Callithrix jacchus: one gene and its partners. The protein of the gene in region 2 purifies or fractionates together with the protein of the main gene of each other region. This does not show direct contact. Links are inferred from orthologs where the notes say so. Each region holds a gene or a part of one and is shown on either strand. Other genes may lie near its edges. The genes, in order: IRF3, SQSTM1, VANGL2, CCNF, LLGL1, SOX2 and AIM2.

What was found.
Region 1: the proteins of SQSTM1 (region 2) and IRF3 purify together in Homo sapiens (affinity purification with western blotting; 4 studies listed by BioGRID). This does not show direct contact. The link is inferred for Callithrix jacchus from reciprocal best matches to the Homo sapiens genes SQSTM1 and IRF3.
Region 3: the proteins of SQSTM1 (region 2) and VANGL2 purify together in Homo sapiens (affinity purification with western blotting; 3 studies listed by BioGRID, with this or other methods). This does not show direct contact. The link is inferred for Callithrix jacchus from reciprocal best matches to the Homo sapiens genes SQSTM1 and VANGL2.
Region 4: the proteins of SQSTM1 (region 2) and CCNF purify together in Homo sapiens (affinity purification with western blotting; 3 studies listed by BioGRID). This does not show direct contact. The link is inferred for Callithrix jacchus from reciprocal best matches to the Homo sapiens genes SQSTM1 and CCNF.
Region 5: the proteins of SQSTM1 (region 2) and LLGL1 purify together in Homo sapiens (affinity purification with mass spectrometry; 3 studies listed by BioGRID and IntAct, with this or other methods). This does not show direct contact. The link is inferred for Callithrix jacchus from reciprocal best matches to the Homo sapiens genes SQSTM1 and LLGL1.
Region 6: the proteins of SQSTM1 (region 2) and SOX2 purify together in Homo sapiens (affinity purification with western blotting; 3 studies listed by BioGRID, with this or other methods). This does not show direct contact. The link is inferred for Callithrix jacchus from reciprocal best matches to the Homo sapiens genes SQSTM1 and SOX2.
Region 7: the proteins of SQSTM1 (region 2) and AIM2 purify together in Homo sapiens (affinity purification with western blotting; 3 studies listed by BioGRID and IntAct, with this or other methods). This does not show direct contact. The link is inferred for Callithrix jacchus from reciprocal best matches to the Homo sapiens genes SQSTM1 and AIM2.

What each region holds. Positions count from the first base shown.
Region 1 is NC_133523.1:43,428,673-43,432,673, forward strand, and holds the start of IRF3 (interferon regulatory factor 3), read right to left. Parts: upstream 2,801-4,001; 5' UTR 2,514-2,800; coding exon of another isoform or gene 2,507-2,513; 5' UTR 2,335-2,506; coding exon 2,241-2,334; intron 1,805-2,240; coding exon 1,632-1,804; intron 1,483-1,631; exon of another isoform or gene 1,401-1,482; intron 747-1,400; coding exon 575-746; intron 491-574; coding exon 420-490; intron 1-419. Other genes in the region: BCL2L12 (bcl-2-like protein 12), read left to right, coding at 3,618-3,724, 3,941-4,001.
Region 2 is NC_133503.1:71,820,503-71,824,667, forward strand, and holds the start of SQSTM1 (sequestosome-1), read right to left. Parts: upstream 2,801-4,165; 5' UTR 2,769-2,800; coding exon 2,564-2,768; exon of another isoform or gene 1,922-2,563; intron 750-1,921; coding exon 654-749; intron 1-653. UniProt on the Homo sapiens protein: Molecular adapter required for selective macroautophagy (aggrephagy) by acting as a bridge between polyubiquitinated proteins and autophagosomes.
Region 3 is NC_133519.1:20,363,647-20,367,146, reverse strand, and holds part of VANGL2 (vang-like protein 2), read right to left. Parts: intron 2,869-3,500; coding exon 2,732-2,868; intron 2,235-2,731; coding exon 2,099-2,234; intron 1-2,098. UniProt on the Homo sapiens protein: Involved in the control of early morphogenesis and patterning of both axial midline structures and the development of neural plate. Plays a role in the regulation of planar cell polarity, particularly in the orientation of stereociliary bundles in the cochlea.
Region 4 is NC_133513.1:4,368,402-4,371,901, forward strand, and holds part of CCNF (cyclin-F), read right to left. Parts: intron 2,981-3,500; coding exon 2,787-2,980; intron 2,043-2,786; coding exon 1,989-2,042; intron 688-1,988; coding exon 583-687; intron 277-582; coding exon 199-276; intron 1-198. UniProt on the Homo sapiens protein: Substrate recognition component of a SCF (SKP1-CUL1-F-box protein) E3 ubiquitin-protein ligase complex which mediates the ubiquitination and subsequent proteasomal degradation of target proteins.
Region 5 is NC_133506.1:82,670,684-82,674,183, reverse strand, and holds part of LLGL1 (lethal(2) giant larvae protein homolog 1), read right to left. Parts: intron 1,696-3,500; coding exon 1,400-1,695; intron 892-1,399; coding exon 627-891; intron 464-626; coding exon 349-463; intron 178-348; coding exon 71-177; intron 1-70. UniProt on the Homo sapiens protein: Cortical cytoskeleton protein found in a complex involved in maintaining cell polarity and epithelial integrity. Involved in the regulation of mitotic spindle orientation, proliferation, differentiation and tissue organization of neuroepithelial cells.
Region 6 is NC_133516.1:9,953,814-9,957,753, reverse strand, and holds SOX2 (transcription factor SOX-2), read right to left. Parts: upstream 2,801-3,940; 5' UTR 2,347-2,800; coding exon 1,387-2,346; 3' UTR 257-1,386; downstream 1-256. UniProt on the Homo sapiens protein: Transcription factor that forms a trimeric complex with OCT4 on DNA and controls the expression of a number of genes involved in embryonic development such as YES1, FGF4, UTF1 and ZFP206. Binds to the proximal enhancer region of NANOG.
Region 7 is NC_133519.1:19,049,005-19,052,504, forward strand, and holds part of AIM2 (interferon-inducible protein AIM2), read right to left. Parts: intron 1,362-3,500; coding exon 942-1,361; intron 1-941. UniProt on the Homo sapiens protein: Sensor component of the AIM2 inflammasome, which mediates inflammasome activation in response to the presence of double-stranded DNA (dsDNA) in the cytosol, leading to subsequent pyroptosis.

The DNA of each region.
Region 1 (4,001 bases), on a different chromosome or scaffold from region 2:
TGAATGCCACATGCTACCATTCCAACCCCAGGATCTGGCTTTCTGCAGGCAAGGCCTGGGCAGAATTTCAGAGGGGATGCTCCCCTGGCTCTGACAGCGGCAGGATCAAGGGGAGGGAGGGAGGTTTTCAGTTCCCAAGAGGCTGACAGACAGCCGTCCCCCCACTCCCCCCCTCCCCCCGCCAATCAAGGATCTACAGGAAATCCCGGGAAGGCGTGTCAAATGCAAATTGAGTGCCTTCAATGCCAAGTGAAGACTGAATTTTCTCCTGAGGAGACTGGAGCATGGGACAGACAGGGCCAGCACTGGCTCAGGTGAGGGGCAGACGAGGTGAGGGAGGCGCACTGGTCCACAGGGAGAGGATGAGTCCATGGGAACAGGACAGACAGTGGGGGCGTGAAGGTTGGGCACATTCTTACCTGGGTATCAAAAGTACTGCCTCCGCCACTGGTGTCTGGAGATGTGTCTGGCTGGGCAAAGTTCCCAACTGCTGTTGAGAAAGGTGTTGAAGTGGCTAGGGGTGCCAGGAACCCTTGGGACCCCAGCCTCCCACACTGACCCCGATCTGGCAGACCTGAGTTCACAAACTCGTAGATCTTATGTGGGTCGTGAGGGTCCTTGCTTCGGTCATCTGCTAAACGCAATCCATCTTTGCGGTTGAGGGCAGAACGGAAATTCCTCTTCCAGGTTGGCGGGTCTGGCTTATCTCTCCCGGGAACGTATGCACCAGTGGCCTCAGCCCAGGCCTGGGGCAACAGTGGTGTGAGGATAGTGAGAGAGGACGACCTAGATCCTGTCCCGGAGCCCCAACCCTGTCTCCGGCATCCTAACACCACCCTCTTTCCCTGGCAAGTTGTAACTCTGCAAGGTCCATCCCCAAATCCCCCCATCCCACCTACCTCCATCCCCACCTCTAGTTTTCTAGAATGATCTGCCTGCCTCAGCCTCCCAACGTGCTGGGATTACAGGCGTGAGTTACCGCGCCCCGCCTCTTCAAAAGCCTTTGAAACCTCTTTTGTTTTTAACGAGACGGGGCCTGTGTTGCCCAGGCTGGTCTCAAACTCCGGGGCTCAAGCGATCCTCTAGCCTCGGCCTTGCCAAAGTACTGGGATTCTATGTGAACCACCGCGCCCCCCAAAAACCTTTTCTTTCTAAGCCAGGCTTTCAAGTCCTACTAACCCCGTGCACCACCTGCCTCAGGACACCCTCGGTGATAACCTCGTCCCTCACACTGTTTACCACGTCTGGCTTATACTAATTCGGTGGTTAGGAACCCCAGATTTGGGGCTCCAAGTCTCACCTCTGATGTTTCAAGAACAATCCCCCAGGATCCTACTACTAGGAACCCCGGCCCCTAGAGAGCTCCAAACCCATAGGATGCATTTTCATTGCGTACTAACCCGGCTCTCCCAGTTCTAGTTCTATTCCCGGAACCGGCAACTCCGACCCTCCCGGCGCCCCCATCAGTCAGCTGATCCGGCTAGCCCCGCCCCTCCCGTTCTGGCCCCACCCACCAGCGTTGACACGAGCCCGCCCCTCGCGCGCTACCGCCGCCTTCTCAACCCTGCCTCTCGGAGTCTTTCCCGCCCAGCGCGCAGCTCCTGGTTTCCAGCGTCCCTGGTCGCACGCACCTGGAAGATTCCGAAATCCTCCTGCTGTGCATCATGCCGTAGACCGTGTTTCCAAGGGATGCGGAAGCGCGTGCGGCTCTCATTCACCCAGGCCACACCCTCCAGCTGCCCCAGATTCAGCTGCAACTCCAGCCAGGGCAGGATCCGTGGCTTTGGGGTTCCCATGGTCCGGCCTGCGCGTACAGGGCATTTCCTGGGCGCGGCCGGCCTCTCCTGGACCCACCTGGCCTGGAGTTTCCGCGCCCAGAACTCCCTGTCATGGGCTACGGCACAGGTCCTTCACCCATGTTTTCGGGGGTACAAACAGGAAACCTCCTCTTCCCATCCTCCCATCCGCCAGAGAGGCTCCCTAATCAGCTAGGGTTCCTTCCCCTATCCATGGCACACCCTTCCCCAGCGACTTCAGTACAGACCCTCCACTCCCTCAATTCTGCCAGTGTAGACCCCCTCTTTCCCCATATCGAAAGCAAGTAACCCCACTTTCAGGGTAACATCTCTTTCCCTAGCTATGTCAGTGCAGAATCGATTCACTTGTAAGCCTCTACCGCCTGCACTTAGCCCAGTGTAGACCCCCTTCCACAGTCCCCCTAGAGAAGATCCCCTACCTACTTCCAACGCAGAACCTCCATCCACAATGCTCCCTCGACTGCCAGCCTCCCTCCTCCAGAGCACGCCTCAGCTTTCGAGAGCGAACTGCCCGCATCTGCGGAGTCCACCCCTCCCTCTCTAGATCTCCCTCAGTGTAGACGCCTCCTCTTTCTCTTCCCTCCCTACTTTTTCTAGTTTTTCTGCAACAGACCTCCAGCGCCGGCCACTCCCTCCTTTCTCCACTTTCCCCAGATTATACAGCCTGCCTTTCCACTTTCCGTACAGACCCATCATCTTTCCCGCTCCTCGTTCTCGAACGCCACCAACGCTCTCCCGGGCTCTTCCGCGTTACCTACGATGGAAGGTCGGGGCGTGCGGGGAGCTGGAGCCCACCCGTCTTGGGGCTCCGGGTAGCTCTCAAACTCGAGGCTGAACACCCGCTTTCCCGTCAGCTGAGTTCTAGAGCGCTGGGACTTTCTTTTCCAACGACTTCTTGAAATAAAAACAACTTTATCATTCTTTGAGTGACAGAACCCAGAGCCGAAGGGACAGGCCGTAGGGCCCGGGCTGTCCCCGCCCCCATGCCCTTTTTCGGCTTTCCGGCCAGAGGCATGCTGGGAGCGTCAAATGCAAATTGAGCGTGCAGCCAGCGTTCCGCCTTTTCTACGTTGGGCCGGTTACCCACCCGGCCCAGTGCGCAGGGGCGGGAAAGTTGACCTAGAAAGTTTTGTACGAGTTGAGTGAAGAAGGCGGCAAGTTGAGTGGAGGTGGCGGCGGTGGGGCCCCGGACCAGGTCAGCGGAGTGTTGCCGAGGGTCGGGGTGTGGAGGGAAGAGGAGGCGGCCGGGATGCAGGAGTGAGAACCCAGTCCCGCTTCTCCGACATCCAAGTGTATATTCCAGGAGCAGGAGATTTGGAAATACACCTCCCAGCAGGCTGTGCGGCGAAGAAGCGGGGACCGAGGAGAAGATTTGCCGTAAAGCCTGCTGGGATTGGTAGTTCCCGATGCTTTAAGAGTTTGAGTAGTTCGGCATATACCTCTTTCAGAATCCAGGAGTTGGGGCGCTAAGCCCCTTCTCCCTGGGAGACATAAGGGTCAGGGGCTCCAGTTCCTTTCTCTCTAAGACTCAGGAATCTAGGACCCTAGCTCCCTCCTCCTTTAGGTCCACGAATCTGGGCACCCACCCCCTAGCTTTCCTTGGATTAATGAGTCTGTCCTGTTCCCTCTTCTGTCTGAGGACTCAAGAGTCTAAGCGCCCAGACCCACACTCTCCAAAGGACCCAGGAGTCCGGGCCCTCATCACCTTCCTTGGGACTCACAACTCCCGGTCCTCAAGCCTCCACTTCTCGATAAATCCTTGGAGTTCAGTCCCTAGCCCCCTCTCTCATAGGTGCCTCCATGGCAGGCTCAGAAGAGCTGGGTCTCCGGGAAGACACGCTGAGGGTCCTAGCTGCCTTCCTCAGGCGTGGTGAGACTGCCGGGTCTCCTGTTGCAACTTCACCCAGGTAACAGGAGTTGTGCTTCTCCCCGAGGGGCCAGGATTTGAGGCCCCCTCCTAACTCTTGCTCCTGGTCTCAGTCTCTCTCCTCTCTTTATATCTGACTCTATTCTCTGTCTTTGGGGTTTTGGAGAGAGGTCCTCAGTGGGGGAGGGAGTGAGTTGAGAAAAGTGACTTACAGAGGATCTCTGGTGGGGTCACTCTCTGAAGTCCTCCTCCCCAGAAGCCCTGCCCCAGAAGAGCCAACAGACTTCCTGAGCCGCCTTCGAAGATGTCTTCCCTGC
Region 2 (4,165 bases):
CTTAGGTGAGGACAGCAGAGCAACCAAGAACCTGCTAGGAGGTTCCCAGTCCCTGTGTCTGTTACCTGGGCAATGTGGCCCAGGCAGCAGAGCAGCAGCAAGGGACCCTGTCTGCACACCTTTGGCCTTGCTCTTCACCCACGCACCATAGCACCAGACCCCATCCCTAGGGGGACTCCTCTTTGGACTCCTCTTTCTCAGGTCAGACACAACATTTATTATGTCTCTCTTTTTTTTGACACAGAGTCTCACTTTGTCACCCAAGCTGGAGTGCAATGGTGCGATCTTGGCTCGCTGCAACCTCTGCCCCCAAGGTTTAAGTGATTCTCTTGTCTCTGTATCCTGAGTAGCTGGGATTACAGGTGTGCACCACCATGCCCAGCTAATTTTTCTATTTTTAGTAGAGACAAGGTTTCACCATGTTGGCCAGGCTGGTCTTAAACTCCTGACCTCAGGAGATCTGCCTGCCTCGGCCTCCTAAAGTGTTGGAATTACAGGCATGAGCAACCATGCCTGACCTATGTACCTGTTTTAAACAGTCTTCAAATTCCTGACCCTTTCTCCTTGGTGGAACATCAAGCCCGATTTTTTACTCAGCAGGGAGATGAGTACAAGCTAAGCTAGCTTCAGGCAGCCCCAGAGCAGCCCCTTACCTTTAATGTAGATTCGGAAGATGTCATCCTTCACATAGGACATGGCCATTGTCAATTCCTCATCACTGGAAAAGGCAACCAAGTCCCCGTCCTCATCTAGATTGTTTAAAAGACAGCACGTGAGCACCCAAGGGTTCTCAGCTAGACATAAGTTGTGGAATGGTCTGAGGCCAGTATGAAAGGGACGCTGACAGGGCTATACACTGGAGCACACCTACTTGGGCCACGGAGGCAGGAGCGAGAGGCAAGACTATCCCCTCGCTTTGGCACCTCCTGGAAGGTGAGTGCTCCAACCTGGGCCCTGGACCACAGCCACATTCAGGGGACAGAGGGCCCGTGCATAGGGACAGCAGAGGCTTCAGCTGCTGCACTTATTTAGCCTTGGGCCAGCTGGCCCTTCAGAAACATGCCACCTCATTCCACATCCGACCAGGCCCATGTCCATCTTCATAAATGGGAGATCCCTGCCTGTGACCTGCTCCTGAGGGGCGGCCCAGCCCCACAAAGGCCTTGGTGGCTTAGGAGTAAAGAAGACGAGTGCATCTGCCTGCTTCCTTCCCTAACAAAGCTAAAAATCAAGTATTTGTATGTAGTCTCCAGTTGTGACAGATACAGGTGAGCTCAAATGGCTTTAAAGCACCACTGTGCGGACCAAACCTCACCATCCACCATGGAAACAGGTGTGGCACCCAAAGATGCAAACAACCCAAATGTCTATCAGCTAATGAACAGGTAAACAAAACGTGGCCTGTCCATACAATATTATTCAGCCAAAAGAAAAAAAATGAAGTACTGATACGTGTCACAACATTGAACACATTACACTAAGTGAAAGGAACCACTTGCAAGACTACACTGTATGATTCCATTTACATGAAATTTCCAGGGTTGCAAGATGAATAGATACAGAAAGGAGGTTAGTGGTTTCTGGGGGCATTTGGATAGGGTGATGATAAAAGGTATGGCGTTTATAAGGTGATGAAAGGTTCTCAGATTGAATATGGTCCACAATCCAATGAAGATGGTGAAAACCACTGACTTGTACACAAAATGGGTGAACCCTTATGTCAGCTACAGCTCAACACAATTTTTTTTTTTTTTTTTAAGACTAGAAGGCCTGGCAGGCTGGCAGCACTCCAGAGGGAGGTCCCAGCACTGCCCCCTCCCAGGGGCCGGCCTTGGCCACCTCCCTCCCTCCTGGCCACAACCACCTCCCTAACCCCACCCCCAGCAGCCACCGGTCACACCAGCGCAGCAGGAAACAGCACCTGGGTGTCTGTGACCACACCAACACTTCTGAAGAATGTTCTCGTCTTGTCACTCTCTCCACTTGCCAGTGGGATAACATCTGTACTCCGCCTGGCCTGGAGCGTTCTGTTGGCAATCGGTGCCCTCCTCCCCGGCGCGGTCGCAGCGCTCACGAGGCGCCCGCACCACCGCGCTTGTTTACGCGCGTCACTCCCCCCGATCCGCTGGCGCTCCCCGGGGCATTATCTGAACCCACGACCTGGCGCAGCAAGATGTCACAGTAACCCGAGTGCCCGCCTGACCACCCCGTTCCCGCGGAGAGCCAGAGAGGACGCCCGGGCGCGTCCTTGCCCAAATTCGCAACACCTCGGAGGGGGAGGGGTGGCGTCTGACGCTCCCAGCCGAGCAGGGCCCGAGCCCCGGCCGGCAGGGTCCCACCGCCCCATGTCCCACAGGGCCGGCGCTGAGCAGCGGTGCCCGACTTTGGTCACCTCAAGGCCGAACTGGGGAACCCATGCAGGCCACCGCCACCCAGGGAGCAGCCAGAGCAGACGCCCTCACGGCCCGCCAAGTATCGCCGAGAATGGAGGGGGCAGCCACCCCTTTGCAGGAGGCCGGACCCGGCCTGCGTCACAGCCCCCGCCGCTCTCCGGCCAGCTCACCACGATAGTGCGCCTGGAAGCCGCCAGGCCGCAGTGCGGGGAACAGGGCTGCCACCCGGTTCAGCAGCCGATCGCAGGGCCCCAGACCAGCTGCGGCCTCGGCTTCTGCCTCAGGCTCGGAGCTGAAGCAGAAGCTGAAGCGGCGGATCTCGCGCGCCGCGTCCTCCTTGCCCAGAAGGTAGGCTTTCACCGTGAGCGACGCCATAACAGCCAGTCAGCTGGCGGAAAACCTGCTGTACCCGGCGCAACAGACGAGCGGCTTTTGTAGCGAACACGGAGGCCCCGCCCCGCCTCACGAGGGGCGGAGTCTGTCACGCCCGCCCGGCCCCCGCCGTCGCCGCCGCGGCGCGAGAGCCGCCCTGCCGAGGCCCTTTCACTACTGTCCCCTTCCCCGCTACCCCTCGCCCCGGGTCTCCTTAGCCCCCTCATTGCTGACCTCTCTCCTCACTGCCCGGGTGCACCAAGGACCCCAAGAGACCGGCCCTGGCACGCATCTAGGCCTGGGCTCCGGCCTCTGCACCTAGGATCAGGGGACTGGCGGGGGTCCCGCCCCTAGCCCCTCCCAGGCTTGGGCCGGGCAGTGACTCAGCAATATCCTCAGTTGGGGGTACCCAGTGCTGGGGGAGCGGGACACAGTCCCCATACCAGGGGGCTGCTAGGCCGCCCAGTAGGCATTGCTGACCAGAACAAGCAACTTGTTCCAACCCTGCCATGGTCAGCCTCCCCAGGTGGGGGTGGGGGGTGGGCGAGGATGTGAGTTGGGGGCAACATGCTTACAGACCATAGCATCCTGGGTGATGGGCCCCTAAGTAGGCTGAGGGACAGACACCTGACTCTAGCCTGAGCATCAGAGCAGCTCCCAGTTTAATAGGAGTGGAGTGGTCGCCAAGCATTCACTATGGCCCAAGAGACAACTCATGGACTTCTCAATTCAGCAGGCAGTGTCCATGGCCCTGCAAGGGCTCAGGCCCGCTGGCATTGTGGGGAACCAAGACGGTCATCCAACAGCCTCCTCAGCTAGGAAGGAAGAAACACCATTTTATGCCACCAGAGTGACCTGTCCATCAGTACTGGGCCAAGGAGAGGGGCAGGAGGGGTGATCACTCGATGGAGCCTCCCTGCTGGTCAGAATCTGCTGTGTCCAATTCATGCCATTTCAGGCCAGGGCTTGCAGGACCTGGAAAAACATTCAACATCCCAGGGTGGGTCAGTCAGATATGAAGGTGATGTGTGGGTGTATGCACAGCAGGGGCTGGTCGACAGGTGTGACTGATCCTTCCAGGAGGACTTCCAAGTGGGCAAGGCTGCCAGCCTGCCCAGAGCAGCCCTGTGGAAAGGGCTCAGGCCTCTGCCTGCATCCAGCAGGGGACAGTGGAAAGTGCCCTCTGGCCTGCTGGAGCCACTGCCTTGCAAACAGGGACAGGGGACAGAGAGAGGCATGCTGGCAGAGGCTATGGCCTGCAGACAGGTGCTGGCCAAGTATGACTCAGCAGCCCGGGCACCTGAGAGCCACGTGGCCCCACCAGGCCAGCTTTCCTGCCCCAGCCCCCAGCTAAGGCCCGGTCTGAATGGGGTGGGGGACACAAGGAAAGTCCTCCCGCT
Region 3 (3,500 bases), on a different chromosome or scaffold from region 2:
ATCTGTAATCCCAGCTACTGGAGAGGTTGAGGCAGGAGAATCACTTGAACCCAGAAGGCGGAGGTTGCAGTGAGCTGAGATCGCGCCACTGCACTCCAGCCTGGGCAACAGAGCGAGGCTCTATCTCAACAAAATAAACAAAAAGCATACCGATACACACACCAACACCAACAAAGATGACTACACTAACGTTAACTTTGCACAAGGATACATATAGGTTTTAAGGAAATCAAACACACTCAACTGGATGCCTAAAATGTGGGGCTGGAGTGAAAGAAGAAACGGGAGGAAAAGAGAAACAGAATAAAGAACCACAAGGAACCCTATAATGACAACATGTTAGAAGCTGAAAAGAGCAACTAATGCAATTCTCTGCACTTCAAGTCCAAAAACCAAACCGAAACCCCCCTGGCCTAAGAGCAGGAGCAGCCTGAACTGACAGGAGGAAGAAAGTGAGGTCTGCAGCCTCATATGCAGGAACCCAGGAGACGGGGAACGTCAGTCATTTCAAACGGGACTCCGGGGACGCAGGTGTGGATCTGTGTATGTCTGGCATTTCTTTATTCTCTTGCTTCCCCTACATTTCTCAGTAAGTGCCTTTTGGAAAGATCCTTTTATCTCAGGTAACCAAAGGAGAAAGTTTGCTCCTGGTTACAAGCAAGGGAATGGGGAAAGAGTTCTCTATGTGCCAAAAATGGTGGTGGCAGCACAGAAGATTCAATGACCCTGGTCGGGGCACAAGGTAAAGGGGCAGGGGCATCGCTTGTTTCCTTTCCGTGAGGGCCATTTCCAAGACAACTAGAGATAGGCTGGAATGCTGCAGAAATGGAGTTGGTGATCCTTGTTCTACTACAGGGGATGCCAGCCTCCTATGAGAACAGGGTAAGGGCTACCTCTTGCCCTTGAAGCCTGGAGATTATGTGGAAGATGGGGCAGAGGGCAGGGGCATGGTCAAGTCCCGAGGCACTCTGCTCCTCCCTCAGGGAACTCCTGACAGACCGAGACGGGACCCAGCAGAGTCGGCATCAGGTAAGATTCTTCAGGGTTGACCTCAGCCACATGATAATATGAACAGGGAAAGGAAGAAGTGAGGACGGCATTTAAGAATTTACCAGCTGAGGTGGGTGGATCATGAGGTCAAGAGATTGAGACCATCCTGGTCAATATGGTGAAACCCCGTCTCTACTAAAAATACAAAAAATTAGCTGGGCATGGTGGCACGTGCCTGTAATCCCAGCTACCCGGGAGGCTGAGGCAGGAAAATTGCCTGAACCCAGGAGGCGGAGGTTGCAGTGAGCTGAGATCGCGCCATTGCACTCCAGCCTGGGTAACAAGAGCGAAACTCCGTCTCAAAAAAAAAAAAAAAAAAGAATTTACCAACATGTAGGCACTAGAACCTCATGTTTTGAAGGCAACAAAAGCAGCATCTGGTGAGTGCCCTCAAGATCTACTGGCAGGAAGGCTAGTCCAGCCTGAGTCCCTGCTGTTGCAGGTAAAGCTCACATCCCTTTGTTGGGTCCCTACCCCATGATGGTAGGCAGAATTCAAAGATACCTCCCACTCCTACCAGACTCCCATCCCTCATTAGACAACAATCTTAGTACGTTTTGCAAATGTAATTAATGTGCCAAGTCAGTGGCCTCCCAACAAGACTGTCCTGTTGGGCCTGATCTAACCTGAGCTCTTTAAAATCAGAGTTATCTCCAGCTGGTGGCAGAAGTCAGAGACCTGTTTCTGCTGGGAAAAAAAGTGCACTGCCATCATGTAAACTGCCTATGGGGCCATGTGACAAGGAACTGAATATCTCCCACAATAATGAGCTTCAAAGAGAAAGCATAGGCTCAGATGAGAGTCCTCTTGATTTCAGCCTCAGCCAGCCTGCACCTGACCCATGGAACTGGGAGATAATAAATGTGTGCTATTTCACAGCTGCTAAGTTTGTGTTAATCTGTTAGGGCAGCAATGGAAAACAAATACACACCCCCACTCATGTCATCGTTGCTCTATATTTCCAGCAGCTACAGAAGTTCCATAGTCTTCCTCTCCCAGTTCACCCCACAAGCACCTCTCCTCCTCACCTTCTCCCCCTGGGACCCACCTGGCCCTCCTCTTGCGCACCCTTCGCTCATGCTCCGCCTCCTCATAGTAGTACTCATTGTGACTGTTGTCCCGCCTCCGAGCTGCCGCTGCGATCACAGCCCGAGACTGGCCAGTGGAGTTGTTGGTGCTGTTTTCTGCACAGGAACAGGATAGAAGGGATGGTCACATCAGAGTGTGGCCTTTCTTCCCACTCCAGGAGCTCTGGAGACAGCAGCCTGGCATGTCCAGAAGAAGCTGTTCCCACCACCCAGCAACACCTCCCAGTCCCAACCCTCCTGGCCACCTCTGGGAGAGGCCACAGGAAAGCAACAGTGAAGGCACTGGGAGCGCAGGAGTCCTGCGGGTGTTCCTCCCCAGTGCGTGAGGTTCTGCAGCTCCGAGAGCCGAAAGGCTCAGACCAGGGCTGATGAGAGACACAGAGGAGCCAGATTGGGGACACGCCATAGCATAAAGCAACAGCAAGTAGGATGAGCAGCTGAGATCAGCCCCCTAGAGTCAAGGGAAGTGACTGAACAGAAGCGGCTGGAACATAGGCTAAGGAAAGGAAAAAGCAAGGGACAAAGAGAGAGGTGGTAACTTGGAGTCCTGCTTGGGAAGAGACAGGGAAGGGCAGAGGAGCAGGGCTGCTCACCCTCTCCGAGGGAATACACCTTGAAGCCAGACACTTTCTTGGCCAAGACGGACTTGGGCAGGTTGAGGAGGGCAGGGTTGTAGACAGGGAAGTCATGGTAATACTTCTCCAGGATCCACACTGCCACGCGCTGGATGCTGTGGGGGAGACGGCAGGAGGGGGCAGGAGAAGGGACAGACAAGGGGCACAGGGGAAGGGACACATTAGGGCAGGTTGGCGGGGCAGGAGAGGACGCAGGACAGGGACAAGTTGCTTCCAAGAAGGCTGGCTCCAGGCCTGAGGTCTACTTACCAGGCTCCCAAGCCTTTCCCAGGACTGGGCCTCCTAGTCCCTCCCTGCTGTGCCGAAGCCCAGCAGAGAAAGGGCATTGGGTCTGGGTCCCCAGCCATAGGTCCCCTCATTCCCATCCAGCATTCCCCCAAGATTCTCTACAGGACCCAGGACGTGCCGCTGATACTCTGCACGGCCTCAAGGGGTAGCTTGTGTACTGGGAGCTGAAGAATTCTCCTTATCTCTTTCTCTGGGGTTCCCTCCTCTGGCCAGGTCACTTCACAGGCCACTCTCTAAGTGCTCACAAGAAGCTGTGCCTCCCGGAAAGGACTAGAAAAGGGATTCCAAAAAGCCCCTGTTTGTGACCCCCCCCATATCTCTTCCCTTTGGTCCATCCCCCTCTAATATTCCCTACCTCTAAATGCCTGCTCATTCCCAACTCCTAACTCCCAGCTGATCTTGCCCCACCACTGTGAATCTGCCCATGAAGGAGCAAACG
Region 4 (3,500 bases), on a different chromosome or scaffold from region 2:
CCCCTGACCTCAGGTGATCTACCCTCCTCGGCCTCCCAAACTGCTGGGATTACAGGCTGAGCCACTGTGCCCGGCCTCCTGAAGCCATCTTATGGTTTCCCTGAATCCCAGCCTCCCATGCGGGAGCCCAGATAGTCCTGCCCCAAGGCTGGAGGGAGAAGAGCTGGCTCCCCATGTCGTCGCAGCCCCGGACGTCACCTGCGCTTCCCAGCAGCCCTTGGCAGCGTAGTCCCTGAGTTTTCGGAAGCTGTGGAGACTTCGCCCAGGATCTGACATCTGTCAATGGGAGAAGATCATCGAGCCTTTACACCGCTGTGTCTCGGGAGGGACGGGTACCAAGACACAGAAGGGCCGACGCTAAGCTAACTTCCCACCTCTGCTCTCTCAAATGGCGGGAGTCATTTTGGGGGTTTGCCAAGAATAGCCAAGAATAGCCGACTGTCCAGTGGCTCCTGGAGGCTGAGAGGCTGGGAGCAGCAAGAGCCACCTCCCTTTTGCAGACAGAACCGCATCCAAGGACCAGCATCAACTGTGCCTTTGTCCAGCGTTAACTCCGCCCCACCCAGAGCAGGCTCCACTCACATCTGTCCTCCTGTCGCTTTCCCAGAGGAGGTATGCGCTGCTCAGACATCCCTGACGAGCAGCCTCTTCAAACAGGTCCCGAGCCTGCTGCTGCTTTTCTTCATCCTAGAATAAATCCCAGCAGAGTTCATTCTTCTCTTATTCTTTTCTTTTTTTTTTTTTTTGATACAGTTTTGCTCTTGTGGCACAAGTTGGAGTGCAACGGCCTGATCTTGGATCACTGCAACCTCCGCCTCCCATGTTCAAGCAATTCTCCTGCCTCAGCCTCCTGAGTAGCTGGGATTATAGGCGCCTGCTACCACACCCTGCTAATTTTTGCATTTTTAGTAGAGACAGGGTTTCACCAGGTTGGCCAGGCTGGTCTCAAACTCCTGGCTTCAGGTGGCCACCCACCTTAGCCTCCCAAAGGGCTCGGATTACAGGAATGAGCCACTGCGCCTGGCTATTTTTGTTGCTGTTGAAACAGAGTATCCCTTTTGTCACCCAGGATGAAATGCAGTGGCGCAATCTCGGCTCATTACAACTTCCACTTCCTGGGTTCAAGCAACTCTCATGCCTCAGTCTCCTGAGTAGCTGGAATTACAGGTACCCACCACCATGCCTGGCTAATTTTTGTGTTTTTTTTTAATAGAGATGTGGTTTCACCACATTGGCCAGGCTGGTCTCGAACTCCTGACCTCAGGTGATGCACGCACCTTAGCCTCCCAAAGTGTTGGGATTACAGGCGGGAGCCGCTGCACCCGGCCTCCATACTCGTAAGTTGTAACACACGTTGCCCCGAGCTTTACTAACATGAGTTACTGAAATCAGAGCAGAAATGGCTTCTCTACAGACACCATTCCACACCCAGCGAGGAGCATGAACTCAGAGCTCCAGCCACAGAGGCCCTGCTCTCTTCCTAGAAGGGTTTACATTTGGGCTGGGCCTGCAGGCTCCCTGGTTCGGCTCTGCACCACCAAAGGCCTGCCCTTCTCACCGCTGCCAAAGGAACTGCCCTGAACCACCACAACAGTGGTGGTGGCTCTCGGGGCTTCTCCTCAGTGTCCTTCTCGGATGCATTTGCCATGCCTGTCACTAGAAGCCACCACGTTCCTGCGATTTGCCGCAAAGGGGCTTTACGGATCACGAAGCCCATTAGGACATCGAGAGCAGAGAGGTCCACATGAGCAGAGGGGAGGCCCAGCTCCTGCGATTTCCTCTGCAGTTCTCATCGCCCCCACTCATCCGCCAGCTGGGGCACAGAGCCAGGACCACAGCCTGCTGCCGGCCCAAGTGTGCCACCTGCCTTCCCCAGCTGGGCCTTCCTGGGCAAGGCTTGCCTTTGGTTTTGGGCCTTGGACGCCCCCTGCTGCCGCTTTTCACTGCCAGTCAAACACAGTCCAAGTGTGGAGAACAATGTGACTCACCTCGAACAGACTCAGCACTCTGCCCAAGCAGTGCAGTATGGATGCTTTGTGAGTCTTAAAAAAAAGGAGAAAGAAGTGTGATTTCCAGCAGAGAGAACTGACAGGGGCCGTCCCTCCCCAGTTTGTGTGTCTTTGGGTCCCATGCCCATGGCCCTGCTGCCTGGCCCTCCCTCCCCTGCAGAGGGCCACTCCAAGATTTGAGTCTTGTTTTTTTTTTTCTTTTAGTGGAAACAGGGTCTCGCTCTGTCACCCAGGCTGGAGTACAGTGGTGTAGTCACAGCTCATAGCAACCTCAACCTCCCAGGCTCAAGCAATCCCCCCACCTCTGCCTCCTAAGTAGCTGGGACAACAGGTATGCACCACCACCCTGGCTAACATTTTTGTATTTTTTTTTGTAGAGACGAGGTTTCATCATGTTACCCAGGGTGGTCTTGAACTCCTGGCCACAAGCAATTTTCCAGCCTTGGCCTCCCAAAGTGTTAGATAACAGGCATGAGCCACCACACCCGGCCGGATTTGTGTCTTGGGCTCCAACTGCTGCATACAGCCTCAGCCCCATGTTTCCAGCCGTCAGCAGGTGTGCCCAGAACTCTACAGCCCACCCTGGCTCTCAGGCTTTCTCCTCTCCTGCCAGGTAATTTCAAGATGCTTTCCCTACATATGCACTCTGTTTTCTGCATCTTCACTTCTCTTAGGCACCTGACTTTCCAGGGTCCAGAGCCTACCCTCGGGGTGTTCCTGGGACCCTGCAGGTGGCCTCACAGGTGCTGCTGCTGCTCGCGCCTCGCCCAGACTCACCCTCTGCAGTTGGGACTCTGCCCTGAGGCTCTCGTGAACCACGGCCTTGCAGCAGCTTCCACTCACCGACCACGGAGGGCGGATGAACAGCCAGATGAAGGGCACGGCACCAGCGTTCAGCCGCTCCGTGAGACTGAAGAAGTGAGAGGCCTTCAGGCCATTCACTTCCGCACGGGCCTCATCAGACACAGACACTGCGGGGACAGACAGCACAGGACCCAGGGATGTCTCTTGGGCGCAGAATGTGGAAAGTTCTGCATGGTCTTGGTGGACAGCGTAAAGCCTAAAGCCCACCATAGTGCAGTGTAGCTGGTGTTTCAGGAGGGAAGAGCCCTCCAGGATGGGGGTACCTGCCTCTTCTCCCCCTACTTGGTTAATGTCTAGAACAGAGGGGTCATTGTGATCAAGGCCCCTGCTACACTCCTCCCAGAAGCCTGGATTCTGAAGGTAAGGGGGAGGAGACCCTGCCACGCTTCAGGTCCCATCCTCCCTCCAGCTGGGAACCGCTTCCTGACTCCCTGGTAATGGGTCCAGGGCACGGGTGGGGGCTCTTTTTGGGAAAAGGAGAACATTCTAAAATTAGACAGTGGCAATGGCTGCACGACCCCGTAAGAACCACAGAGTTGCGCACTTTAGATGGGTGAACTATACTGTGTGTGAATTTTATGTCTGGGAACTGCTCTCTGATGGGAGGGTGGAGAGAGGACCTCAGCT
Region 5 (3,500 bases), on a different chromosome or scaffold from region 2:
GAGAGTCCTGACTCCCTCCCTTAGGGCACCGTGGGGCCAGGGCCTGGACCCATTTCATGCCCCTCCTCACCAGATCCCTTGCTGTGGGCTAGATCAGGGCTTCCACCAAGGCTCTGTGGGGCCAGCAGGATGCTTGGGGTCCCGTTAGCCTGGCTCAGCTTGGTTGACTCTCGGAGTCTGTAAATGCAGAGATAGGCATGTGGGGACCATAGGTGGGTGCCTTGAGGCTGGCACATTAGATCTCTGCACTCCCACTCCCAAGCCCAGGGAAGGCAGATCTTGGGGGTGGGATGAGAACTCGCCCTGGTCACAGGTCCCCCAGACCAGGGGCTGCCTCCATCCACACACCTGGCCTGGGTGGCATCATGGGGCCAGTTAATGTCCAGAGAGCAGAGCGGTTCTGTGATGTTCCGGGCACTTAGGGAGAAGCGTTCAAATTCTGATGGGGATATCAGGTAAAAGCCTGGGTGGACAGAAGAATGAGGACTGCAGTTAGGAGATGCCACCAACCACAGCTCCTCCGTGGGCAGGGCCTGTGCCCACCTGGAAGGCCCTTCCCAAGCAGCACTGGCCCTGCTCAGCTTGCTTGCCTAAGGAAGGCCTCTTTGGCCTCAGCCCCACCTCACCCTGGCCGTGGCGCGTGAAGATACACGAGGCGATGCCGCTGATGTCCTCCTTCCGGATGCAGGAGTAATGCACCTGCGGTCTCAGGCCAGGCACCGAGAAGACGTGGACATCGCCCAGGTTGGTGAGGCAGGCCAGGCAGGTCTCAGCATAGTCCTCGCAGGCCACACTGGCAAACGTGGCCAATGCCACCTTGCGCACACGACAGCCCTCATGGGCCGTGAGCTTGAACTTGGTCTTGGCGCTCACCTTGGGCAGTGTGAAAACCTGACAGCAGGTGGCCAGTGAGCACAGAGCCTGGCCCTGTCCTCATCTCCAGGGCCCCTCACCCTCATGGCTGCAGACCCACCAGCCCCCACCACAAAGCCCAGCCTCATTGCCACGTGGCCTCCCCTGCCTGTACACCTGGCTGGCCCTGCTGGCACTGCCCCACTAAACTCCAGACTTCACGTTGTACTCCAGAAACCTCCCAGGCCCTCAATCACAGAGTGCCTAGAGTTCTTTCAAGGCAGCATCCCTGGGGACTGGGCTCAGGGTTCTTGGCAGAGTACAGGAGCCTTGCAGGGGACAGTGAGATAGGACAGTCTTAGAGGAACTCAGCAGGCTGAGGGGGCATCAGAGTTCTTTGGGAGAAATTTTCTGCTGACTAGGGGTGTTTTGCTGGGGTGCAAGGGTCTTAGGGTCCCAGCAGTGGGGGATACAGGCAAGCAGGGGCTCTAGAGGATCCAATGGTAGGGTCCTGGAGAGGAGTCCCCCACAGCCCACAGTGGCTCACCTTGAACTGCTCCTCAGATGCGATGAGCACAGCATGACCACCCTGCATGTCAGGTGCCTGCGCCAGGTCCCGTGAGGCCTCATAGGGCTCGGGCAGTGGGCGGCCACGCCCATCCAACACGGCGATGGCCACCACAGGCGCCCGGTGCATCAGCTGCACTTCCTTGCCCAGCACGGCCTCCACTGCTTGCTCAGGCCGCTTTTCACCACCCACTGCTGCTGCCGGCACCTCTAGCGCATAGGCGAACACAGAGCCCGAGTTGGTGCCAGCCCACATGGTAGGCCCATGGTGGGCCCCTGCAGAAAACGAGCTCGTGAGGAGGGTGCTCCCTGCGGGCCAGGCATCTCCCCTGTAGTCTCCTCACAGACTGCAGGCACTTCCCGGCCTCTCTTGTACCTCTCCTTCCTAACTGTGACACCCTGGGACTCAGGGCTGGTTCCTTCCTGTCCCATGCCTCCCTGATGACCTCCAGCTTTGAGGCCTGAGATCCCAGCTCTAGGCTGCTAACTGCAGTCAGAGGCCAGGATGCAGCCCTCCTGCAGAGGCCCCAACAGCTAGAGCGCATCTGCACAGGATGCCAATGGGCACCCAAACCAGACCCTGAACCCTCTAGCTCCATCCCACTAGCTTCAACCCCCACATCAGTAAATGCAGCTCCATCCTAGCATCACTCACCCCCAAGCCCTACAAGCCCGACTCCTCTCTCCAGCCCTGCATCCCCTTGCTAGTCCTGTCAACAGACTGGAACCAGGCCCTCATGCACCCCACACGTGCGTCTTGTCTCACCCCTGCTTCACCCCGCCTTCAGTGTGTTCCCTACATGGCAGCCAGAGCCACCGAGCCTGGGGACACCTAGGACGCCCATCCACCGACCCTACTCTGCCTGTGTGAACTGAACCTCTGGGGGATGAGCTTTAGTGGAGAATCAGAGCCAAGCCCCGCAGAAGCCAGGGCAGACTTGGAAGCTCACCCACCTGCACCCTGATGACCTGATGAATCCTGGGGCAGTAAGTAAACATGCACAACAGGAGCCCCAGGCGGCCACGAACATGACCCTCCTTGGGATGGTGGAACAAGTTAAAAACCCCAGGCTGTCCTCTTCTGGGTCTTTGTGGTCAGAAACAACAAAAGCCAAAGAAACCCCCACCTCCAGCTCCATCCACCACATCCAGACAGTGGGAAAATCCACTGCACAAAGACCCTCGACAAATAAATGACATCAGAAAGCAGAGCTCGACCAAGCAGATGACACTCAGGAATTCACGTTGGTTCTACAGGGCATGATGTGAACAGTGGCTGTCAGTGACATCTGTCAGGCCCATGCTGAAGTACTCGTGTCTGGGTTTTCGTTTAAAATACCCCAGCAAGATAAACAGTAAAGAGTATGGGGGAGGGGGACGGCTTCTGTAGAGGCACATAACTGGTGGCAGGCAGGCAAGGTATGTGGGATAACTTTGCACCACTCTATTTTTGTGTATGTTTGAAATTCTCCCATTGTACAAAGTCAATGACTCAGCACATCCAGGACCTAGTCAAGAGTTCCCAGGCCACCAAGAGTCCAAGCCAGGTCCTCAGCTCTGGTTAGTACCAGCACCTCCCTGAGCCACACTCCTCGACCCCCACCGGCTCCATTCCAGCCAAGTGGCTGGGCAGCACCCACACATATCCCCGCCTCAGGGCCTGGACAAGGGCCAGTGCCCCTCACTGTCATACTCCAGGCCTCAACCTCCCTTCTCCTGGCTTAGATCTGAGAGGCTCACCCAGCTCACAACAACCCCTTACCATCCATCTCCCCCAGGAGGTCTGTGGGTGACCAGGCAACAAGTGGAACAAGTTAAAAGCCCGAGGCTGTCCTCTTCTGGGTCTTTGTAGTCAGAAAAAAAACAAAAAGCCAAAGAACCCCCACCTCCAGGTCCATCTGCCACATCCAGACAGTGGGAAAATCCACTGCACTCCCCTGGGGGAGCTGGATGGTAACGGTTTTTTTTCTGAGATGGTCTCGCTCTGTCATCCAGGTTGGAGTGCTGTGGAGTGATCTCGGCTCACTGCAACCTCCACCTCCCAGTTCAAGCAATTCTCCTGCCTCAACCTCCCAAGTAGC
Region 6 (3,940 bases), on a different chromosome or scaffold from region 2:
TTAGAAAAGGAGGGGGCGGATTTACAATATATGTCTCTAGTTTCTATTTTAGAAATGACAAAATTTTCAATTTTTCCAGTACTTATTATTCATCCAGCCGTTTCCTTTTCGCAGTTAACATTAGCACACGAAGCTGGACTAGTAATACCGAGGATTTTTGGTCTTTTGCTTTGTCGGCTGAGCACAGTAAGATAATTCCCCGAGAAGTTATGTATAATCACAGTGTTAACCAAATAAATGAAAGACTCAAGAATAATTTCAGTGTCCATATTTCAAAAATTTATTTATCTCAAACTGTGCATAATGGAGTAAAAACTTAAGTTGAAAATGTACCTGTTATAAGGATGGTATTAGTTCAAATATATACATGGATTCTCGGCAGACTGATTCAAATAATACAGAGCCGAATCTTTTTAAAATACAGCTACGGAAAATAAAGGGGGAAAACCTTAAAATATCACAATAAATTTACAGAAATATTACAAACCATAAGAAAATATTTCAAACACAGTAATTTCATGTTTCTTTTTTATCTGAACAAAATGGAAAGTTGGGATTGAACAAAAGCTATTATAAATTACCAACGATGTCAACCTGCATGGCCATTTTTGCTTTTAATAGTAAGTTATAAAATTTAGTACAATCTAAAACTTTTGCCCTTTTAAACAAGACCACAGAGATGGTTTGCCAGTACTTATTCTAATTTTTTTCCTTTTGTACAATTTTTAATTCAAATGTCCAAATTTTAATAGTTTTCTTCTCTCCACGTTTGCAACTGTCCTAAATTTCAGCTGCAGAATCAAAATTCAACAAGAAGCCTCTCCTTGAAAAATATTGGCAAATTCTCAGCTTATAAACAATGGACATTTTGATTGCCATGTTTATCTCGATAAATACTGTACAAAAGTTGCTTGCAAATATTAAAACATTTTTTTCGTCGCTTGGAGACTAGCTCTAAATATTATTGGTAAAGACTTTTGCAAACTTCCTGCAAAGCTCCTCCCGTACCACTAGAACTTTTTAAAAGTTTTTCGTAGCTTTCTTTCCTCCAGATCTATACAAGGTCCATTCCCCCGCCCTCCCCACCCCTCCCCCCTGGTTTTCTCTGTACAAAAATAAGTCCCCAAAAAGAAGTCCAGGATCTCTCTCATAAAAGTTTTCTTGTCGGCATCGCGGTTTTTGAGTGAGTGTGGATGGGATCGGTGTTCTCTTTCGCAGCTGTCATTTGCTGTGGGTGATGAGACTCTTCTTTTTTTTCCTTTTTCTTTTCGAGCATACCGGGCTTTCTCCACGCAGTTTCCGACTCTCCTCTCTGCACCCCTCCCCCACTGATTCCCCTCGCTCTTGTCGGAGAATGCCTCCCCCGTCCAGTTCGCGGTCCGGCCCTCACATGTGCGAGAGCGGCAGTGTGCCGTTGATGGCCGTGCCGGGCACCGGGCCGCTCTGGTAGTGCTGGGACATGTGCAGTCTGCTGGGCGCGGCGGGCTCCGGCACCTCCGCGCCGGGGAGGTACATGCTGATCATGTCCCGGAGGTCCCCGGCCTGGCAGGGCGCCCTGGAGTGCGAGGAAGAGGTCACCACCGGCGGGCTGGAGCTCGCCTCCGACTTGACCACCGAGCCCATGGAGCCCAGCGCCATGCCGGGCGTGCCCTGCTGCGAGTAGGACATGCTGTAGGTGGGCGAGCCGTTCATGTAGGTCTGCGAGCTGGTCATGGAGTTGTACTGCAGCGCGCTCACGTCGTAGCGGTGCATGGGCTGCATCTGCGCCGCGCCGTGCGCGTTGAGGCCCGGGTGCTGCGGGTAGCCCAGCTGCTCCTGCATCATGCTGTAGCTGCCGTTGCTCCAGCCGTTCATGTGCGCGTAGCTGTCCATGCGCTGGTTCACGCCCGCGCCCAGGCCGGCGCCCACCCCGACCCCGCCGGCCATGCCGTTGCCGCCGGGCGCCAGCAGCCCGCCGGGCAGCGTGTACTTATCCTTCTTCATGAGCGTCTTGGTTTTCCGCCGGGGCCGGTACTTGTAATCCGGGTGCTCCTTCATGTGCAGCGCGCGCAGCCGCTTGGCCTCGTCGATGAACGGCCGCTTCTCCGTCTCGGACAGCAGCTTCCACTCGGCGCCCAGGCGCTTGCTGATCTCCGAGTTGTGCATCTTGGGGTTCTCCTGGGCCATCTTGCGCCGCTGCCCGCGGGACCACACCATGAAGGCGTTCATGGGCCGCTTGACGCGGTCGGGGCTGTTCTTCTGGTTGCCACCCGCCGCCGCCGCCGCCGCGGTGGGGTTGCCGCCGCCGCCCCCCGAAGTCTGCTGCGGGCCCGGCGGCTTCAGCTCCGTCTCCATCATGTTGTACATGCGGGCGCTGTGCGCGGGCCCGGCCCGCCGGCGGCCGCCGACCCTCCTCGGCCCGGCCGGGACTTTGGGGGGCCCGCGGGCGGGGGGGCGGAGGAGGGGAGGCGGGCGGGGGTGCCGGGAGCGCGGGACTCCGCAAGGAGAATCAGGCGAGGAACAATTTGGGGGCAAAAAAGCGAGAGAGGCAGAGGCTGGAATCAGGATCAAAAAAAAAAAAAAAAAAAACCGCGCGTTCCCTCCTCCTCCGGCCGGAGCCGCCGCCGCCGAGGATTGTTATGGTTATTTTTTGGAAAGGCTTAAGCCCGGGGCTCAAACTTCTCTCCTTTCTTTCTCCTCTTCTTTCTCTCCGTCCCCGTCTTAAAGAGGCAGCAAACTACTTTCCCCCTTTTGCAAACACTCTCTTCTCTGCCTTGACAACTCCTGATACTTTTTTGAACAAGTTAATAGACAACCGTCCATGTGACGGGGGCTGTCAGGGAATAAATGGGTTTCCCGCGACCAATCAGCGCGCGGCGGCTCCTCCACTCGGGCCCGGCCTCGCCGCCGGGTTTTGCATGAAAGGGGGCGGGGCCTCGCGGGCCGCCGGCGCGGGGGCGGGGGCGGGGGCGGGGGAGGGGAGAGGGGGAGGGGAGGGGATGGGAGGGGCGGCGGGGAGGGAGGCGGCTCCGGGCCGGCCTGCCAGCCACTGAGAAACCTTTGTATCCCCCTCGCAGCAACAGGTCACGCCACACGCCTTTTCGAAGGAAGTGGGTAAACAGCACCAAGACTACGTGGGTTTTTTCTTTTTTAAACTTAACACTGATTTACTTTTTGGTGCAGGGTGCTGAAGTGAGGATGGGACGCGGGGGGCAGCTAAGGTGCGGGGGTGGGGCAGGGCTCAGTGGGTGGCTCGGGGCGACGGTCCAGCTCGTGTTTCTGGAAACCGCCAGTGCAAGGCTGGGTGTGTCATTGTCCCGCCGCCCATTCGCGCAGTGCCCCCAGCTCCTGCCCCTCTGCGGCTCCCACGCCGCGCGCTTCCTCTCCCCTCTTCCCCCGCAGGTGCCGGCGTTCCCGCACGCCCTTCAGACAGGGTCTCCACTAGAAGTTAGGAGACTCGAACCTCGGTCCTCAAAGCCTTCCTTGCTTCCACCTAACGTGCTCTGTTCTTAAACATCAATCCTGGTCGGACCACGAGGCCGACTCCAGAGCTGGGAACCCGCAGGCCTTGGGAAGCTGCCATCTCTCTGTCCCACTCAGCTCTGGCCCAGGAAACCGCAGCTCGCCTTCTTACTCCCAGCCCCAACTCCCACTGGCCTGTCTCCAGTCAACCGGAGCAAAGGGGATGCTCCTACGCTCTCCCCCCCGTTCCCCATTCCCACCCCAGGCCTCCCCCAAAGAGGGGTTTCAGTCGTGCGGGTTTCAAATGGGGGCTGGGGAAAGAGAGAGAGACAAACGGAAGGGCGCTCCAAAGTGCAGGATGGGGGAGGGTAACTTCAACTTCCTGGCATCCCACGGCACTGTGCGGAGGTGGCATTTGGGCCCCAGTCACAAACTCCCTCCCACGCAGGGTTCCCTGGGCGCCAGCAGAACCAGCCCTGGCATTTCCCTCGTGGGTTTC
Region 7 (3,500 bases), on a different chromosome or scaffold from region 2:
CTGTCCTAGATCAGAAAAAGTCATCCCACAAGGCTATTTCCCTGAGGCTCAGAGTCATAATACTTTAAATTTCTCACTTATAATAAGTCTCCTCAAGCTAACTCTTTTTTTTTTTTTTTTTTTTTTTGAGACAGAGTTTTACTCTTGTTACCCAGGCTGGAGTGCAATAGCACGATCTCAGCTCACCACAATCTCCGCCTCCTGGGTTCAGGCAATTCTCCTGCCTCAGCCTTCTGAGTAGCTGGGATTACAGGCGCGCAGCACCATGCCCAGCTAATTTTTTGTATTTTTAGTAGAGAAGGAGTTTCACCATGTTGACCAGGATGGTCTCGATCTCTCGACCTCATGATCCACCCGCCTCGGCCTCCCAAAGTGCTGGGATTATAGGCGTGAGCCACCGCGACTGGCCCATAGCTAACTCTTTCTTCTGTTTTCTTCATTTAATCACAGTTCTTTAATCCTGCCTTACATACTGGTTTTTCAGGTCAATTGATCTGGTTTACAACTACACTTATATCACATTCAAAAACAGTCACTTAAAGATGATATGTACAAAGTATAAAAATAACACAGATTGGGAGGCTGAGGCGGGTGGATCACCTGAGGTCAGGAGTTCAAGACCAGCCTGAACAACATGGTGAAACCCCGTCTCTTTTAAATAAATAAATAACACAGAGATAAAAATTATGTGAATGAACTAGTTCTTTTTTTCAGAGGCTACTGGGATAAGAATAAGTTGAAACAGGATTGTGACAGATTTTTGACAATAAAAACAATTTTTGCGTTTTTGTATGAATTTTGGCATGTTAACTCTGCAGCTCTTTAGAACTTTGTATTTTTTTGTCTATATAGAAAGATATTAAAACCATTTCTAAAGTCGCTTTAAGATCAGATGAAAAATATTATTACTAATCAATATGAAATTAGATATGAAGACGTACCTTCCGGACTACAAACAACCCATTCACAATTGTTCCAAGGGGCTGAGTTTGAAGTGTGCTGATCTTCGGGGTTTCCCCAGCTTTTCTGATAATGTTCGGAGGGACATTAACCTTTTGGTCAGATTCAGCATCTAACACACGTGAGGCACTAGTTACTTCTAAGAAACCGCTGTGCCGATAATACCTTGATATGATAATTATTGTCTTTGGAATGAATTTATCTCTTAGCAGTGTATTAAAAACTTTTACAAAGAAGAATTCCTTCTCGGTAGCCACTGTAGCATGAAACATCTCTTGCTTGCCTTCTTGGGTCTCAAACATGAAGGGCTTCATTGCTTTCAGTACCATAACCGGCAAAGGGTCTTTCTGAAACCCTTCTCTGATAGAGGGCTGCTGGGCCACCATCTGTTTCTGCTCAGGCTGAAGACAAGAGAAGAAAGATATCAGCTGTGAGTCTAAAAGATATCAGCTGTGAGTCTATTGAGAGGACCTTACTTCACTCACAGTGCTAAACCTCAGGAAGCCAGCTGAAGATAGGTAGAATCAAGGGGAGCGTTATAGAGGGGGTCGGGAAGAGATCTGAGGCCTAGAACGACCTGGATACAACAGAGAATGCGGACGGAAGATTTCAGCTCCTGTGTTCGGCTAAGACGGCGTAACAGGTTTTGGAGGTAGGATTTCCTGAAACAAAATTCTTGCTTTGCCAATTGCTATGTATAAAGAGCTCATCAGATCTCTGAAATATTGCTGAGGCATGGGGTAAATCTGATAAATTGGATTCCATCTTCCATCGATTCCATTAGGGCATAATGCGTCCTTGTTTCTCTGTCCAAAACGTTCATTTTACTCTAGTATAAAAGTGAGGGAGCTCAGTGACCTGCACAGGGCTCCCCAAATTCCCAGGAAGGCGCTGTACGTAACAAAATGCAGATTATATTTAATATAAGTTAAGGGGGAGACCTAGGCCAGAGATCTTATCAGTGAGTTAAAGGAGATTTAAAAGGAGAATCAATACTACATGTATGGATTTGCCCTTAGAAATAATGAATTATAAACTAAGGTTCACATTTAAAAAATACATCTTATTATTTGAAATCATAAAAAAAAGAAATAATTTAAGTACCTAAAAACTAGATTTGGTTAAATAAGATACGGTATAGTCACAAATAGATTGCTATGCAAATATTAAAAATGCTTTAGAGAAATAATATGATAAACTTATAACTGATTCAATAAAGGGAAAGGTCCTGAAAAGAGAAAGGATAAGTAAGCAGTTAAAGCACATAAACAAACACACCGGAGAGACATTTACCAACATCAATACAGTTTTTTCCTAGATGATACAATTATAGGTAATTTTATTTTCTTTGTGTTTCTTTATTTGTCTGAATTAACAGAGGTAAAATACCTTGTTTGGGGGGAAAATACTACTCTTTAAAAGTAACTTGCCATCTAGAACCAGAGAGAAATACAGGGGAAAACAAACAGAGGCATAAAAAGCCAAGTGTAGGGGTTTCTGAAGGGTGTCTCTGATGTGACCTGAAGCTTGGGCCAATGGAGTTTGGGGGAGTAAGGGTCCCTAATGGGCAGTACGACTGACTGCATTTGGACCAAGGCAGGGAAAGGTCAGCTTCACTGAGGTCCACTGTAAAAGCCCTTCTGTTTGGTTCATGTCTCTTTAGTTGGGTCTTCCAGACTAAACAATGCATATTTTCATGACTGATGATGGAATCACACATTTATACTTGTTTTCCTGAAAAATCAAGATGTTTCTGGGCCAAACGCAGAGGAAATGGCTACTCTAGACAAAGAGATGAAGTATATCGTTTCTGTAGCTCATACAGCTATAAAATGAAGTAACACCTGCTTCATAGGAAATGAAATTGCATGTGTGGTCGGTTCTGTGCTGGGACTCGGATGTTGCCTGCTGTTCCCTCATTCTCACTAAGAACAAGAGTCTCTAGGCAAACTCTCTCACCTAAATGGGGCTGCCTCACCTTGTCCATGCAGCTATATAGAGGACTTTTTTACATTACTTTTAAAAAGCAATTTGTTGTCAAAAACCAAGGGGAAATACAGGGGAAACAGAGGCATGGCAGGCAGAGTGTAAGAGTCTCTGAATTGAATCTCTGATGTGACTGGGGACCTGGGCCTGTGCAAACCACAGACTCCCCCAGATCATGGGAGCCATGAAAGGCATTCTCAGCTCCCGAGCTCCGTGTCAGATAGGCCAAGGCCTCTACTGCAAATACATTGTTCTTGACCTTCTTCTTCTTCTACTCCTTTCGCTTCCTCACAGATACTAATTCTGAAAGTGATCTAGAATAGACTTCCTGTAAACAACTGTCTGTCTCAGAGTTTTCTTCTTGTAGAATTCAAACCATAACCAAGTGTTAATGTGTCCAGGGCCTGGAAGGGATTAGAAGCTCAACAGGTGTTTAATCTGATAAATCAGAGGTAGTTCCTCTTTTTGTGACTCAGATCACTTTTCATACTGTGGCCTTGCTTCCCTTATTTGCATGCTGTGAGATAAAGAACAGAGAACCGTGTGAGAAGTGA